Drosophila melanogaster: one gene and its partners. The protein of the gene in region 3 interacts with the protein of the main gene of each other region in a pairwise test. Each region holds a gene or a part of one and is shown on either strand. Other genes may lie near its edges.

Evidence for each region. The genes of interacting proteins can lie anywhere in the genome.
Region 1: the proteins of RpL4 (region 3) and Ssl2 interact in a two-hybrid assay, tested with the Drosophila melanogaster proteins (one large-scale study listed by BioGRID).
Region 2: the proteins of RpL4 (region 3) and CG13405 interact in a two-hybrid assay, tested with the Drosophila melanogaster proteins (one large-scale study listed by BioGRID).

The regions. Positions count from the first base shown.
Region 1 is NT_033777.3:29,030,451-29,034,583, forward strand, and holds Ssl2 (strictosidine synthase-like 2), read right to left. Parts: upstream 2,193-4,133; 5' UTR 2,084-2,192; coding exon 1,968-2,083; exon of another isoform or gene 1,908-1,967; coding exon 1,699-1,907; exon of another isoform or gene 1,644-1,698; coding exon 1,355-1,643; exon of another isoform or gene 1,297-1,354; coding exon 666-1,296; 3' UTR 501-665; downstream 1-500. Other genes in the region: beta4GalNAcTB (beta1,4-N-acetylgalactosaminyltransferase B), read right to left, coding at 2,498-3,469.
Region 2 is NT_037436.4:73,445-77,038, forward strand, and holds CG13405 (uncharacterized protein), read right to left. Parts: upstream 1,889-3,594; 5' UTR 1,767-1,888; coding exon 1,194-1,766; 3' UTR 1,010-1,193; intron 948-1,009; 3' UTR 501-947; downstream 1-500.
Region 3 is NT_033777.3:27,916,837-27,925,434, reverse strand, and holds RpL4 (ribosomal protein L4), read right to left. Parts: upstream 2,615-8,598; 5' UTR 2,519-2,614; coding exon 2,516-2,518; intron 2,311-2,515; coding exon 2,130-2,310; intron 2,066-2,129; coding exon 1,695-2,065; intron 1,521-1,694; exon of another isoform or gene 1,374-1,520; intron 1,296-1,373; coding exon 645-1,295; 3' UTR 547-644; downstream 1-546. Other genes in the region: BCAS2, read left to right, coding at 3,162-3,236, 3,304-4,065; CG12259 (uncharacterized protein), read left to right, coding at 4,441-5,520; Boh1 (buddy of Hmr 1), read left to right, coding at 6,152-7,177; mRpS22 (mitochondrial ribosomal protein S22), read right to left, coding at 7,252-8,433.

The DNA of each region.
Region 1 (4,133 bases), 1.1 Mb from region 3:
ATTGGTATTACCATTTTTGCTGGCAATATCACTCGATTACCTTTTTCGATTAGAACTTGTGTTGATACATTGGACGCTGACACATATATTTATACATAAAATCTAATCTGTGCAAGTGTATGAGTGTGTCAGTCTTAATGTGTGCGTGTTTGTTAGTAATGTTTTAAATTATATTATGTAGACTTAAACGCAAGGCTTTTGAGCCCTTGCTCGTTGCCACATTCCGCAATCGATATCAAATGTGAAACGAAACGACCGCATGTAGTTAAATATAATAGTACATTAGCTAGACAAAATAGCCAACTAACTATGTTCTGACGTATTTTTTACAAAGCATATTTAATTCACTTTCACGCATGAGTTCTTATTGTAATTCTACGCAAATCCAATTACTAAGACACGAAATTGTACAGACATATATAGTTTTATTTATCTTTTATTTTAACGTCATGTATTTTTGTTTATTCAAAATAAAGGTTTGTTCCTTGAGTTTTAATTTTATTAATAAAATACAAAATATTAATGTGATTTGATAGTTTCATGGTGCAATAAACTAATTAAAAACAATGCTTGACAGGTTCTTTAAATAAGGTGGCATTCAAATAATAATAAATTATAATGGTAAATATCACATTGAATCCATAGTACTGACTTTACTAATCCCTTTAATTTCCTTTTACGGACTTCAATCCCTCTTCGGGCAATTTTACTTTGGCAACATAGTGATTGAAAGGCGATCCCAGATATAAGTGACCCTTAACTTCCAGCACGTGGGATATGCCCGAAGCTGATCTGTCAAACCCATGCAGGGATCTCACAATGTTTCCATTCCAATCCACACGCACCACAGTGCTACGCTTGGGAGCGTTCCTGATGACCAAATCGTTAAAGGAGTGAAAAAGACGAGCCGCAATGTCATTTGGATATATATGGTTCAGAACTCGAAGGGGAAGTCGCATTAGAGCCACCAAACGAGCCAAAAAAGATCTAAGCCTCGGATAGGGCGCCAACACGGCGAACAAATTGGGATTCTGACTATCTGAAGCCACAGACAGGGGCACCCAGATTCCCTCTTCATCCGCAGTGAGGTTATCCGGGCAGCCGGGCAAACCCTCCACAAACACTTCGCTTTCACCGGCTCTTGATCCTTTGAGATAATATCTCCTCAGCCGCATGGCCGTTGTTTCGGCAAGGATAATGAAATCCTCACTGGGACTTAAGGCCAAGCCGTTGGCAAAGGACAACTCATCGAGCAGTACCTCGTTTGTCTTCTTTACGCGATCGTACCTGAAAAGTCTGAGGAAAGCCAATAAACCCTTCTTATATGGTAGATCTCTCCTTAGTTCGAACTCACCGACCCGACGGGTTGGCGAACGCAGCAAAGACAAAGTCCTCTGAAAAGGAATCCGTCCAGAATATGTCACCCTGGCGGCTAATTACCAGCGAATTGAACAGCTTAGCCCGACGGTTTGCACCCTTGCCAGGAAGGATCTGCTCCGCCGGCACCAGCACAGTCTTCTTCTTCGTTTCCAAGTCGACTTGCCATATGCCGTAGTATGCATCGGATACAATAAGATTGTTTCCCTGGGTGTCCAGGGCTAAACCCACTGGATAGCCGCACAACTCATCGTCAAATATATAATCTACGGTGAATATCAAGGGCATTATGGATACAAGTTGCCCCTACTCCTTTGTTACCACAAGGTTGCCCTATTTTTGTGATAGGTTGAACCGACTCCTCATTGTTTAGTCGAATAACCTCGCCGCTGTGAATTCCTGTGTAAATCTTGTCCTCGAGTACTATGAGGCACTCGGGTCCAAATATTTGATCTTTCCACAACTTCCGGGCGCCATTTAAGTGATTGTTCAGCTCCAGCGTTCCATTCAGATCTCTAGCTGGCTTTATACTGGGAAACGCACGTATATAGATTATATGGCTTGATAGCAACTGAAGAAAAACAACTTACAAATACTGTTCGAAGGGGAAAGTGGTGCTAGGATATAAGACAGGTAGCAGAAACAAGGACCCCAGGAATAGGACCAAAAACAGGCTGGTTTTAAGCAATGCAGCAAGAAAACCCATTATTATTGACTGCGGTAACAAAGTTCAATTGTCAAGGTATTGTCATAATGATTAGTTTGATTTCGAATTGGTCGATATATATGTACCCTGCTGATTGGAGCTTTTAAAGTTAATCAACAAACCATTAGATTAAATTCAATACATTTTTATTGGCAGAGGCAGAGCGTGCTTAACATGTCGATATCCGCTTAATCTGAGGCTTCTGCATTGTACTTCAATTACAGCTTTGACTCCTCCATTCCCGTCTAGCTTCTTAGCCTAGTGAGTGAGATATCACGATCGATTCGGAACGCATTGTCTAAGGCGGTAACTAATCGGTTGCGAAGCGAAGTGCAGCCAAGTATAAAACACTTCGAGATACCGACTACGAAAACGATTGGCCTACAAGCTAAATACAATAACAAATACTGGCACTCAGGTATCAACCAGGATGTGCGTGAACAAACTGTGCATTCGCCGCTCCATTTCCGTGTACACCAGTGAGTTGAGTCCATCCGCGTGCTGGCGCAGAGTCGCCGATCTCAGCAGTGCCACGCGATTGGCATTCGGCTGCTCCTGTTTGTGCTTCAGCATGGTGTACTTACTGAACTCCATTGCGAATCGGCAAATGTCGATATTCAGGGCCTGCAGGCGCTCGTAGAGGTCATCGTCCTCTCCGCCCCAGCCGTAATACAGATTGGACATGCCGTTGATCTGCTGGTACTGGGCGGTGTTGATGGCCACCACGCCGCCGAAAAGACCGCGGTAAGGCAGTCGGAATCGCCAGTGATCCAGGGCAGAGCTCATGTGCCGTGGACGTTCGGAGCAGGCATATATTTGACCCGAATTCAGTGGCAGGAGGTCCACGTCATGAAGGATGAGGCAGGGAAATCCATACTCCGCAGCCACCTGGGCGCCAATGTTGAAGAGCATCGCCCTGTTAAACGGCTTATGATCGAACTGTTCGACCAGGAAAATCCGATAGTGGATCAGCTGCTGCGGCAGGTAATTGTGCATGTACGTGAGGAAGGCGTGCAGCTGCTCCTCCCGCTGCCTGTACGGCACAATGATGGCGGTGCTGTAGCGAGCCTGACATCCTTCCGGACGGAACTCGCCGCCAGGACGGATCTCCGCGCCCCTCTGCACCGCGTCATGGTAATGGGCCAGGTGGTAGACGAACCGGTTTTCGGCAATGATCTCCGAGTAGGTGCATTCGAAAACTTCCTGCTGGGAGACATTTCTGGTCACCTGCGGCACCAGAGCCCCCTCGATCTTTGATTCCTCGATGTAGTCGTAGTGCGATGCGAACCGGAAGGGCAGACACAGGTACACGATGAGAGTGATCAGTCCGATGGCGATGAGAAGATCATATTTATGGAAGCTGCGGACCCAGAGCCGCACGAACATTGTTGGCAGGAAAAGTTGACTCAGTGCGATCTTTGGAAACTCCGCATCCTAATTTCGGACGCAATCTTCGCGGCCGGTTGGCGAATAACAGCTGACGACCAGGGACGCAACGCATAAACCAACAGACAGTGAAACTTCACCAGCTCGAATTGTTTTTTTTTTGGTTTATTTTCTCACATAATATTCATTAATTTTTTAAATGGTTTTTACGAACAACTAAAGTCTACTAACCAAAAAGAAAATGTTTATGAAATCAATTTTTAGGATGCCTTTAATACAAAATAGCATAAGAAGTTGTTTTTATAAAAAGTATGCAACCGATTGGGCATCCATGGTTCTTTAAAACGGCATGACTCTACCCCACCCTTATTAATTAAACAATAATTTGATAAAAAGTTGTGTTTACTTATACTAGATTGTTGAGACTTCTATTGATAAGGATGCATAGTTATAAATGTTGACTCATTAAAGAGAAGGTAATTGAACTGAAGAAGGTTGTAGCCATATGTATGTATGGTTAATACATGAGAGACATAATCAAAGTTTTTAATTTATAACATTTAAAATGTCAATCTTTGTTTATTATCGGGTTGTACTGTTCGCTCAACAAGTACGTACTGTATAAACAAAGCAACAGCACTCTGGCAACGCCGTGACAGTTTCC
Region 2 (3,594 bases), on a different chromosome or scaffold from region 3:
CTAGAGTATTTTTCGCACACTTTTTTTGGGCGGCGAAGATATATACCAAGGTTGTTGGAACGAGACGGGGAGACTGGGAACGTGGAATGGAGCACAGGCGCGTAAAAAATACCCAAGCCGCAGACAGTGCAATAACAACAAGCGGGAGAACGCAGTAGGGTTGGAGAATTGGGTGGGGGGGGGGGGGGGGGGCGAAGAGACATGAACAGAAGACCCAAGGCAGAGGTCCAAAAAACAGAAACAGAACCAGATGGAAAATGGAATGGAATCGAAGCACAGTTAAAGGAATTTTGCTGTATACGTTAATGTGTGCTTGTTTTTGTGTCTGGGCACACACTCATAAACAATGATGAACGGGGTGAATGGACGCAAGGTGACGTCGCAACGCGGTCGAAGCCGCTGCTTCTGCACATTGGGTTGGCGAATTTGGCGCCGACAACATTCCCCTTCTAAAATCGCGCTTTTGAATTTTCCACCTTAGGGTTAAACCATAAATTTCTAAGTTGCAAGTCCACATAAATTATCTTTTAATCGAAATAATTTACATTTCACTTTTCTCCAAATCTTTCTAAATGTAAATAAAATTTAAACAGTGACCAGTTGTGTAGAAAACGTCAAACTATCTCGTTTTTGCGAAGTGTTCCCCATCAAGCGCCACAATGGGCGTGGCACTTGGCGGAGAGTGAGAATTGAGGCATAATAAAAGAAGGAGGAGGGAACGAAGAAATCATCGAGAGAAGTTTTGGTTCAATTCAGTTCGTTTCGATTCATTCTCGTCTACTGGCGTCTTTCTGTGCCTCTTCGGTTATTTGTTTATGGCTGTTTTGCTTTGATCCCCTTATTCTGTCTGGGGGCACAATCGTCTTGTTTTTGCGCTTATTGCTATTGCTCTACACTTTCCCGCTATTTGGCTACTCCACGTCTGGACTCTTGACTATTAAACCCAGCTAAAAGAAGTGCTAGGCAGATATTTTAGAAATCGAGGGATTAAATTAAATTTTGCATTTACTTGCATTTTATTGAAATTTTCTTGCATTTTTTATTCACATTCCCTCCATCCTTTCCCATTTTATTGAGTGCAGTGTCGTTGATATGTGTAGATATGTATATATGTAAAATATGAAGATATTCCACAATTATTCAAGTATTTTCATAACTTTTCCCCGTCAATTTTCGGAAACTCCGCTAGGAAACTAGGTACAACATAGTCCATTATCCGATTCAGAATCCGACTCATATTCGTCAGCCGAATCCGTGGGACAAAAGCCTGATAAGGTCGATTGTAGTTCAGTATAAAAGTAGCTCTTCTCGTCCTCTGTGACTTCCATTTCTATATCTCTGTAGCGCCTAGGTGAACCGAAGTTTTGGAGGTGCATGGCTCTATTCACGAGAACCTTTAAATGGATCTCCTCATGCTCCTGACAGACCCTAAGTTGTTTGTATTCCTGCTTGTCTCTATAAGTCTTGCACTTCTTGAACATCAGTCGATTGGACTTTGCCTTGAGCTCTTTTATAATCCTGTTCTGCGCATCAATAGCGTTGACCACCTCCTGATACTCCTTGTACATTGCCTGTTGCTCTTCATCGTCTTCATCGCTCTCATTGAGGAGCTCAAAGGGATCCTTCTCCTCCACCTCGAACTTATCTTCCTCTTCAACGTCCTGTTCGTCTCCTTCGCCCTCTCCCTCAAAATCTTCAGCAGCTTCTTGTCCTTCATTTTGCTCATTATCAACGTCTCCAGAGGCTTCTTGCTCCACATCAGACATTGCTTCGGATGTTAGGGATAAATTGTATTAAGCGATGCAGGGGTATTAGTTTACATAATTATGAAATACTTTAATAAACCAAATTTTGATATATAAATCAAATACAAATTGTTGTAGTAGATTTATCATGTGATCGACAAACGTAAACATAAAACTCCACACCTTAGAGCCAGTAAAATCTCAGTTTACTGCACACAACAACTACTTTTATTATTTCAGTTCGCCATTTTTTTTAGCACTTCAATAACTTCCGTTTCCGTTTCCCTCGTTATTAGATCTTTTCATATACGATTTATTGTTCTTCTGCCATCATGATAGCTGTTGCGCCGTTAACTTCATTCCTTCTACAATCTCATCTCTCTTATTTCACGCTTTTATTGACTCAGTGATTTCTTGTGGCTGGATCCGGTGGATTACGTTTCAAAGCGCACCACTCGACGGCATGCGTTCGCATTAATTATAGAAACTACAGAATGCATTTTAATTTGGCATAATGTTTATCTCGCAGCAGGGTCGTTTCATCGTACTACCGGTAGTTAAGACGTGAATTCTAACAGATTACAACCTGTAAGCCAGGAAAGAAAGGGTATGTATTTGATAACTGGCCCAGCGACACAAGTTGCTGTTTTAATATCAAACTGGTGCATTGAATGGCATAATAGGAATGCACAATATGTACGCAAAATGTACCTGCAAAGTTGTGTGCAATGAAAGACAAAAATGTAGAGAACAATGTTTAGCAAAGAAATTGAATATGTCGATATAGGGATATACAAATTTAAATTTATTTATTTATTTAATTTAATTTATTTGAATTTACTTAATTAAATAATAAGCACCTTGTTTGGTCCAAGCTTAAGCTTTTATCCTTGATGTTTTCTTGATTACGTCCCTGTTTAATTTTTGGCGTAATTACCAATTGCTTGCGAGTCCCTGAAAGCGACAGTTGCATTAGAAGCGAACACCCATAGCCAGAGCCTATGGGTTTTATCGTCCGTATCAAGGTGGCTTTTCGATTAGCTCCCCATTCAGATTACGCATACGTCACTTAAGCTCAAAAAGACTGCGCCGCCCATTTTAAATCAAATAACGGGCAATTTAATTTACAAAGTTGAAAGCAAGCATAGGCCACCCCCTTTAAGTCTCATACATATTTTGATTTTTATTGGGACATTTTATTCTTTTTTTTTTTTTTTTTTTTTTGATTCCTTTCAGACCATGCAAGTTGCATCAAGTTTTTCTTCCGCTCAGACTTTTGTTTTCCTTTGTCTTGCATCTTTTTTGTGCTATTGTTACAACGGAATGGGGACTGTTTTTTTGTTTATGCCTCTACTGAATAAAATGGTTTCATTAAAAAAGTTTTAAACTTTTTCATTTAATTTAACTGCAGCAAACAACAAGCATCCTTCATCATGAAGCCTTTCTCCTTCTGCGCTTTTCTTTGCCCACTCTCTTGCCATTTTTCACTGCAACTATTTTGTAGAGAGCATCTGTTTCAGATATAGAGATCCTTAGCATGCTTTGATTGTTTTTTTTTTTTTTTTGAATGAGTTTCAATTAAACTTTTCTATTTCCATTTATTGTGCATTTTCCTTCCGCAGCGTATGCTGTCGCAGTTTGTTTCAGTGAGTTGCCACCCCGATTATCACCTGAGTGAGAGGTATCTTGTAGTCGAGGCACTCTACTCTCTCTGTCCTGGTAAACTTTTATTTTAAAATGGCCTCTTAAACGTATTGTCAACTCAGTATATTATTTCGTCGCTTGATTTCCTTTTTTGTTATTATTTTAATCATTCCCATTCACAGAGCATAATTTAAAAGGGGACGTA
Region 3 (8,598 bases):
TCAGATTTTGCGCGAGATAGCATCTACCTTTATTTTTGGCAAGCTGCTATATAATAAAGTGGGCTTGGAACCGGTTTACCGACTGCTACCTACTATGCTATGGTACCGTCGCGAAATTACATCGGTTAATTGAATCAAAAATATATATCCTTTGTTTCCCAGCCTTTTATTTGCCGCACAAAAGGGATTCGGTATATTCGCGATACGCAGAACCGCGCCAGTCGACCGTTCGCAGTCGAATAAGAGCGGCGACGACGCTCGACGCTTAATTAAATGCCAATTAACGTGTGACAATAAGTATATGTGCGGCCCATGGATGTGCGAACGTGTACGAAGACCAAGATCGGCATCGCCATCGGCGGCAGCACGACGGACGATAACGAAAGCTACAGCCGCCGCCACAGATACAGATGCAGATGCCATGCCGCTGTTATCAGCGCGAGCGGGAGAATGATAAGGGATGGGATCGCTCAGCGCGGCAGGCAAGACGACCAAAAAGAGAGCCAACTAAATGATGTGCCTAAGACTAAGAGTTTAATGAGCATTACTGTCGCGCACTCTATGTATTATGAATAAAATTCATACAACTTTTGTGGTTTATTATAATATAAAAGTGTGTCAGCTCTACTCGGGGGAAAGTAAGTTTACTTCTTGGCCGCTGGCTTCTTGGCGGCGACCTTCTTCTTGCGGGCGGCCAGCAGCTTGGCGCGATTGGCCGCAGCCTTGGTGGCCACATTGGCGAAGTGCGACTTGGCCAGCTCGACGTTCTGCTTCTTGGCCTTGGCCAGCACCTTGGCCACGGTGCGCTTCTCGGCGGCGAGGGCGGCACGACGCTTGAGGACCTCGGCATAGGGGTTAAGCTTGATCAGCTGGCGCACGTTGGTCAGGGGGTTCAGGCGGCGCACGCTGCGGAACACACGCTTGCGGGGATCGCGCAACACCTTGCGGATCTCCTCAGACTTGAGCAGACGCGACAGATCGGTGTTGGCCATCTTGGGCTGGGGCAGGTTGTAGCCCTTCTTCAAGGTGGACGGCTTCTTCCAGGTGCCGAACAGATCGTTCAGGCGGGCGAAAGCCGACTCGGTCCAGATGACAAAGCGACCGACATGACCGCCGGGGGCCAGCTTCAGCAGATTGAGCTTGTCCACGTTGATGGTCTCAATGCCGGGGATGTTGCGGAAGGCCTTGCGCAGACCCTCGTCCTTGTCGTAGACCACCAGGGGACCACGGCGAGCGATGCGGCGACGGTCGCGCATGGTACCACGGCCAGCACGGAAGCGCTGCGACTTGTACACCTGCGAAATGAATGAGAAACAAGTTGATAGTGAGTATGTATATTCCAGGAATTCGGAAATAGAGAACATGAATACAACAGCTGTTGCTCTTCCGTTACCACGATGGAAGCCGTGAATCAAGTTTCAATCGTAACGCCAAGAAGAGCATTTTATCTGGCAACGCAGGAGATCCCTGCAAGCATCGGACAACCAGAAGAGTAGCCAGTTGCTTGCACGCTGCCAAGTAAGATTTAGAAAGCATCCGAAAAGTAGGAATCCAATAAAAAGTTATAACTTTGCAATTAAAACATCACAACTTCACGTTTTGTTAAATAAATACGTTGAAGTTGAATAGACGCACAGTTAAGTGACCTAACATTCTTCGGATTAAGTTCTTCATAGGTGTACAAAGTTACCCACCTTCTGGATGTCAGCCCAGATCTTCAGGCGACGCAGGAAGATGACAGCCTGCTTGGTCTTCTGGACCTTTTGCACCTCATCGGACACGACCAGCGGGAACTCGGAGACGCCGTCGATGACATGTCCCTTGGACTGGACCAGAGCTGGCACTCCTGAGGCGGCGATGGCCGACACCAGGGCGTAGCGACGCTGGTTGACATTCACCTTGCGGTGCCAGCGACGGAACGTCTTGGTGGGGGCGAACATGCGTCCACCACGGCACATGTTGCCGAAGGCTCCCTGGCCGGAACGGTGGGTACCGCCACCACGCACACGGGGAATACGGGCCACAGCACGTCCGGTACCCCAGGACTCGGCGGAGGTCTGGTGACCTGCAAACAGGAATTCAAACGGGTTAGATTCACACAAAAGAGGAGTTATAAACAGTTTACTCACCAGCCAGCTCGCTGACGGCGTAGGCCTGTCGGTTGTTGCGGCGGAGCAGCTGGTGAACCTCGTTGACCACATCCGGACGAATGGGCGCCTTGAACACTGCCGGCAGGCATATGTTCTTGTCCTTGGCTGGCTCGTTCTTTTCCGTGTACACGGAGACCAATGGCCTGGCGTTGCCTAAGCTCTGAAAGTGCACATGGTATTCGGGTTTAGTTCACTGATCATTTCACATCACAAAACACAACAAGCGCATTTCGCCATCGCCGCACATTCCAAACACGTGGAGGTTAGGGCGACACTTTTGCACTATTTTCGCATCGTTTCGTGTGTTAAATCCAATGTTTTGGGGTCTGCTGCGGTTGCGGAGTGCCTTGTGCTTCGTTTCTCACCATTTTCGTTGATTTTCAAACCCAATGAAAGGTGCTAAATATTCTGCAAACGCAGATACCGTCCTCTTTTTATTAAGAAGAACGAAGAAAGAAAGAGAGCTGCCGGAAATGGCTGCCAATCGCGTTCCACGGCGCATGGTTGCATTTGCTAACAGCAGCAAGTGTCAAGCTTACAGGGCTAATTGGACGCTGTCCAACACTTTTAGCTTTTTTTTTCTCTCGTAAGAGAAGTTTTTGTTTATATTCTCGCAATTAAACTATAATATTACAAATCTAAATTCGAATTTATCAATAACGTATTTTAGTTAAATTTATAAATTAGCAATGCGTTTTTAAAGAACAAGAATACAATTGTTGTAATTTAACCGCATAATAAATAATCAAACAATACATAATACATACATACGTTAAAAACTAACTTACACAACTTTTATTGGTGAGAAAACAACGCTTATTTTTTGCTTAAATGTTCATGTTAAAACAAAAAAATTTACTAAATAGATATATGGCTATTAATTAACAGCATTCTGTTATCCGTTTATATAGCTATAAAGTAGCTAAATGTGCCACACTAGTGCGAAGCGGCAATTGTATTTGTTTACTTGCGGAAAAAACAGTCTCAAAACACAGAAATTAATAATAAATAATGGCTGGCGAAGTTATTGTGGATGCTCTGCCCTACATAGATCACGGCTATGACGATGTGGGCGTCCGGGAATCGGTAAATATACGGATATCCATGTTGCACGTTGAAACTGACTTTGAAATGGCATCTTCTTCTTCCAAAGGCTCTCGCCATGGTGGAGGAGGAATGCCGGCGCTATAGGCCCACAAAAAATTACCTTGACCATCTGCCACTGCCCGCCAGCTCGCCCTTTGAGACTCCGCTGATGGCCAACGAGTTCGAGCGCATCCAGAACCGCCTGCCCATGGAGACGCTCTCCATGAAGCGCTACGAACTGCCACCGCCGCCATCGGGCAAATTGTCGGAGGTGTCCGCCTGGCAGGAGGCCATTGAGAACTCGATGGCCCAGCTGGAGCACCAGTGGGTGCGCTCTCTCAACCTGGAGCTAATGCTCGACTACGGCACGGAGGCATGGAAGTCCTACCTGGAGGTCTTCACCGCCATGCAGGCGAAGGCGCAGCTCCAGCTGCAGCAGCTGAAGAAGGACATTCAAGATGTCAACTGGCAGCGCAAGCAGGCGCAAACGCAGGCCGGCGAGCGACTGCGCTCCCTGGAAGCCCATTGGGTGCTGCTGGTCTCCAAGAACTACGAGATCGAGACGGAGTGCGTCGAGCTGGAAAAGATCGTCCATGCCGCCCGTCAGCAGCTGCGGAAGATTACCCCGCCGCCCAGCGCCAATGACACGGCTCCAACGCCGGAATACACGAATGGTTTCGACCAGAACGATTTGGCCGAGAGCAACGGCAGTAGCTCCAGCAATCCAGATCCAAGCCAACCTGGCGATGATGGAACAGATGCCGATGGTGACAGCAAGGAGGAGGACAAATCCGAGGCACAGGAGGAATCTTCCAATGGATCAACGTAGATTTAGTACACTGAGCGAAAGCATGAAGCAAGTTAAAGAAAAACTTACGACTGTAACTAAATATAAAGGATATTAAAAAAAACAGCTAAAAATCTAAGATTTATCTTTATTTTTCAAAATCGTTGCAGAGAAATAGTGATCCTCTTCTTTTTGCTCTTATATCAGGGGAATGGACAGCTAGTAAATTTTAAATAATTTCAAGATTAAATATTTTATTATTTCAAATTGGTAAGGTAGTGTTTTGTGCTGTAAATTTTTTATACGAAGAATGGCATTTTTCAATGTTTCTGCTACGGTCACACCAATTGGATGTTTACAAATTTCGTTTACGAATTAAATAAAAAAAAATATAAATAAATACAGAAACAACTAAGGATGGCCCACTACAAAGGTGCCGCCAGCGAGGCGGGCCGTGCAGCCCAGCTGATGAAGAAGCGGGAGATCCAGCAGCAGGAGATCGAGTTTCGCAAGAAGAAGATCGAGGAGGAGCTCAAGCTGGACAAGATTGAGAACAAGTTTGCCACCCACTACGATGCCGTGGAGCAGCAGCTCAAGTCCTCGACCATTGGTCTGGTCACCCTCGACGAGATGAAGGCCAAGCAGGAGGATATAGTGCGGGAACGGGAGAAGAAGCTCGCCCAGAAGAAGGACGAAAAGGATCGGGAGAAGCAGCGCGCCCTGGAGGCCATTCAGGCGGAGAAGAACAAGCAGAAGCGGCAGATCCAGGCGCTGTCCTTCAACCTGGACGACGACGAGGAGGAGGAGGAGGAGGACGACGAGGATCACGATAAGAAACAGCTGAAGATTAAGCAGGAGGATCAGCCCAAGCCCAAGTGGACGGAGATCAAGGAAGACATTTTGCCCATAAAGAAGAAGAAGATATGCAAGAATCCTGACGTGGACACTTCCTTTCTGCCAGATCGCGAGCGCGAGGAGCAGGAGAACAGACTGCGCGAGCAGCTGCGTCAAGAATGGGTAATGCAGCAGGCGGAGCTGAAGGACGAGGACATCTCCATCACGTTCAGCTACTGGGATGGCTCCGGCCATCGGCGGAACGTGCTGATGAAGAAGGGCAACTCCATCTACCAGTTTCTGCAGAAGTGCCTGGAGCTGCTGCGCAAGGAGTTCATCGAACTGAAGACCGTAATGGCCGACCAGCTGATGTACGTCAAGGAGGATCTGATCCTGCCGCACCACTATTCCTTCTACGACTTTATCGTGACCAAGGCACGCGGCAAATCCGGCCCGCTCTTCCAGTTCGACGTCCACGACGATGTGCGCATGATAAGCGACGCCTCCGTGGAGAAGGAGGAGTCCCATGCCGGAAAGGTACTCCTCCGCTCCTGGTACGAGCGCAACAAGCACATCTTCCCAGCCAGCCGATGGGAGCCCTACGATCCCACCAAGTCCTACGACAAGTACACCATCAAGGACAAGGATAAGAGTAAAAAGTAGTGCTTAGGGCAGTTTCTGCCCGAATAATTGTACAATATAATAATGATTGATTTAATACATCAAAACAAACGAAAAATAACTACAATTTTTATTTGATTTTTCCACCAGATTTACAATCAGTTTAATTAAACTATTATAATAGGCATTGAATGAAATATAAAATATATAACAAATTTATGTTTGCTTAATACAATTTTGAATTCATTAGAAAATGTCATACTTCTCATAAGAATACCCCTAATTATTTAAAATGGCACTGTTAAGAGAACTTGTTGCTAAACAAATTTGGTAGAAATTTTAGTTTATAAACACAGTATAATCAGAGAACATGCAGTTATTCAGCACTTCGTATTGATTGCCATGAAAAAAGAACTGTTAGATTTATATTTTATTTTAATTTTTTAATATTCCAACTGTCATAATAGTCAAAAGAAGTCGGATATGGCGGGAAAAAAGCTAGCCCGCCAGCACCAATAGCAACATTGAATTTTTTGCGCCAGTAAAATTCGCGTCTTTTTATAAAAAGCAAGCGTAATTAATAACAAAAATAAAATAAGTTCCAAGTAAAATGTGAATTCATTTTTCGGATACGTATCGATTTAGTGCCATTTGAGAACCCCGAACCAACGAAATGTACCCGGCGCAACCGGCAAAGGTGGCGTTGGCCGGTCAACCGATATCCGCCGGAAAACCACCACGCCACAGCCCTGTTCAGATGAAGTCTATCCCTTTGCCCGTCTTCGAGCTGCCGGAATACGTGTGCGTGGAGACCAAGTGGGTGACACGCAAGTACGCGATAGAGAATGGCATTCCAGTGAAAGAACTGCATGCCCCGATCACCAATGGAGGCGCTACAGAGTCTCCCAAGAAATCCGTACAGCAGAAGAGACTCAACGAGGTCACTGGAATGTTTGCGAACGAGGCTATGGTGCCGCGCAGAGAGCGCGCCATTCAAACAGAGAATGCGGGCACTAAGGATGCGGGCATTCAATGCCGTCGCGATTCGGAGGAGTGGTATTTACCAGAGGAACGGCCAAAGGATACCGGTTCTGAGGCCTCCAATTCCGACAAATTTCTCACCTACGTGAGCGAGAACACATTCATATTTCCCAACGGCATGATGGAGTGCGCGGTGTGCGGCGATGTGGCCAAAACCTTGCTGGAGCACCAGAGCCACATGACCGCGCACTATGGACCTGGTGCTCTGTGCTTTCGCTGTGGTCAGCGTCTGGACCACCAGAAACAATTGAAGCAACACAGTCTGAGCTGTCCCGCTCTAGCGCCCAGGAAGTCATCGATGCTCTTTAAATGCCCACATCTACTCTGCAACGCCATGAGCCACTCAGAGATGCAGTTGCTCAGGCACCTGAGAAACCATAGCGGCAGGAAGTGCTACAGATGTCTTCAGTGCAAACGTTACTTCAAGACCACCACCTCTCTTTTGGTACACCGAAAAAAAGAACAGAGTTGTGCCAAGGCGAAAGTGGTCGTCCTATTTCGCGAACACAACGGGTTGCCCAATGGAAGAGGTGATCCCAGACGTTGCTCAGTTTGCTTGAAGCGTTTCAGCAGCGAGCGGGTATGCCTGCGGCACCGGAGACAGTGCATCCTTGGCCATTTTAGACGGCTGTCCAGGGTCCTCAAGAAGGAGCTATGAACAGCGTATAGAAATCTTGACCTAGCTGGTATTTATTAGTACATAGAAATCGATAACAATAAAGCGAATAGATCCTACGAAGCCTGGACGCCGTGAGCCTTTTTCAGTCCCTGGAACAGCATCAGTTTCTCCCGGTTAACTTCCTTAAGCGTCTGCACCGCCAGCTCCAGTTGCACCTTCTTCAGCGCATGTTCGCTGGCGATGTACTGCTCAATGAACTTCAGGCTGATCTCATCGGCGGCGAAATCGTGCTCCGTCTTGCCAATGGCCGTATGGATCTCCTGCTCAATGTTCTGCTTATTGTCATGTCGTCGGAAGACGCTTCTTAGCTCCGCCAGGGCACTTTCCGCCGGCGTGGCATGCAGTTTGCCCAGTTCGGTCAGCGTTGCCTGATACTCCACTGGGATGTTGTGTAGCTTGTAGCTCAGAGCAATCAGCTCCACGGCATTGTGCAGATAATCCCGACGGATCATGTCATACAGCAGGTCGTCGATGCAGCGGTGCCAAGCGTAGAAGAAGGCCATGGGTCCAAAGTGGCGGGTGGAGCGCAGAAGATCGAACTCCTTGGACTCGTTGAGATGCTCGAACACACGCGCTGAAATGTTGTGGAACTCCGGCTCATGTGGCTCGTACTGCACCAAGAGTCGATCCAGGATGAACTCGTACTTGTGCTCCGCCAAGCACTTGGCCAGCAGCTCCTCCAGCGCGAACATTCGTGGAGTATATGACTGGCGACCCTCCAGCGGGAAATACAACTGGTTCATGCGCTTCGTGGTATCAAGAGTGGCGTAGGCCAAGGTTCCGTCCATATCCCGGACGATTACCTTGCGTTCCGACTGCCGTCGGCCGAAGGTGATGTCCGTGAATACGAACTTGGAGTTGGCGAAGTCCTTCAGCGCCGTATCCTTGGCTATCACCCGCTCCACATCTTTTTTGATCTGCACAATGGGTGGCATTTGCAGAATTTGCTGAGCCCGCACCACCAAGTTCTGGAACTCGTTGTCCAGCTGCTCGTTGCTCATGAACTTCGTTTCGCTGCTGTTGTCCGGCACCGTGCGCTTCCGATACACCTTGTCCAAGTTCAGTTGCGTCATGGACTGGAGCAGCCGCTGGGTTTCGGCATCCGTGAAAAGCGGCTGCGGATCGCGCTCGTACTGCAGGGCGGCGGGCTTGGTGGGCGCCGAGGACACCTGCCGGATAGCTTGGCGCACTCCTTGGAGGCCATTCAGCTGGCGCAGGCTCCGCAGCAGGTGCATTTTCAGTCAGTAAATCAGGCACAAAAATACACGAGACGGGTGTAGAAATTAGTGAGGGCAGCACGGTGTTTTCCAACACTGCTTGCTAGTAATGACAACAGGAATCTTATTTAATTTAATGTGTTTATTCTATTTGTATAATAACTTTTTTAATGCACATGCACA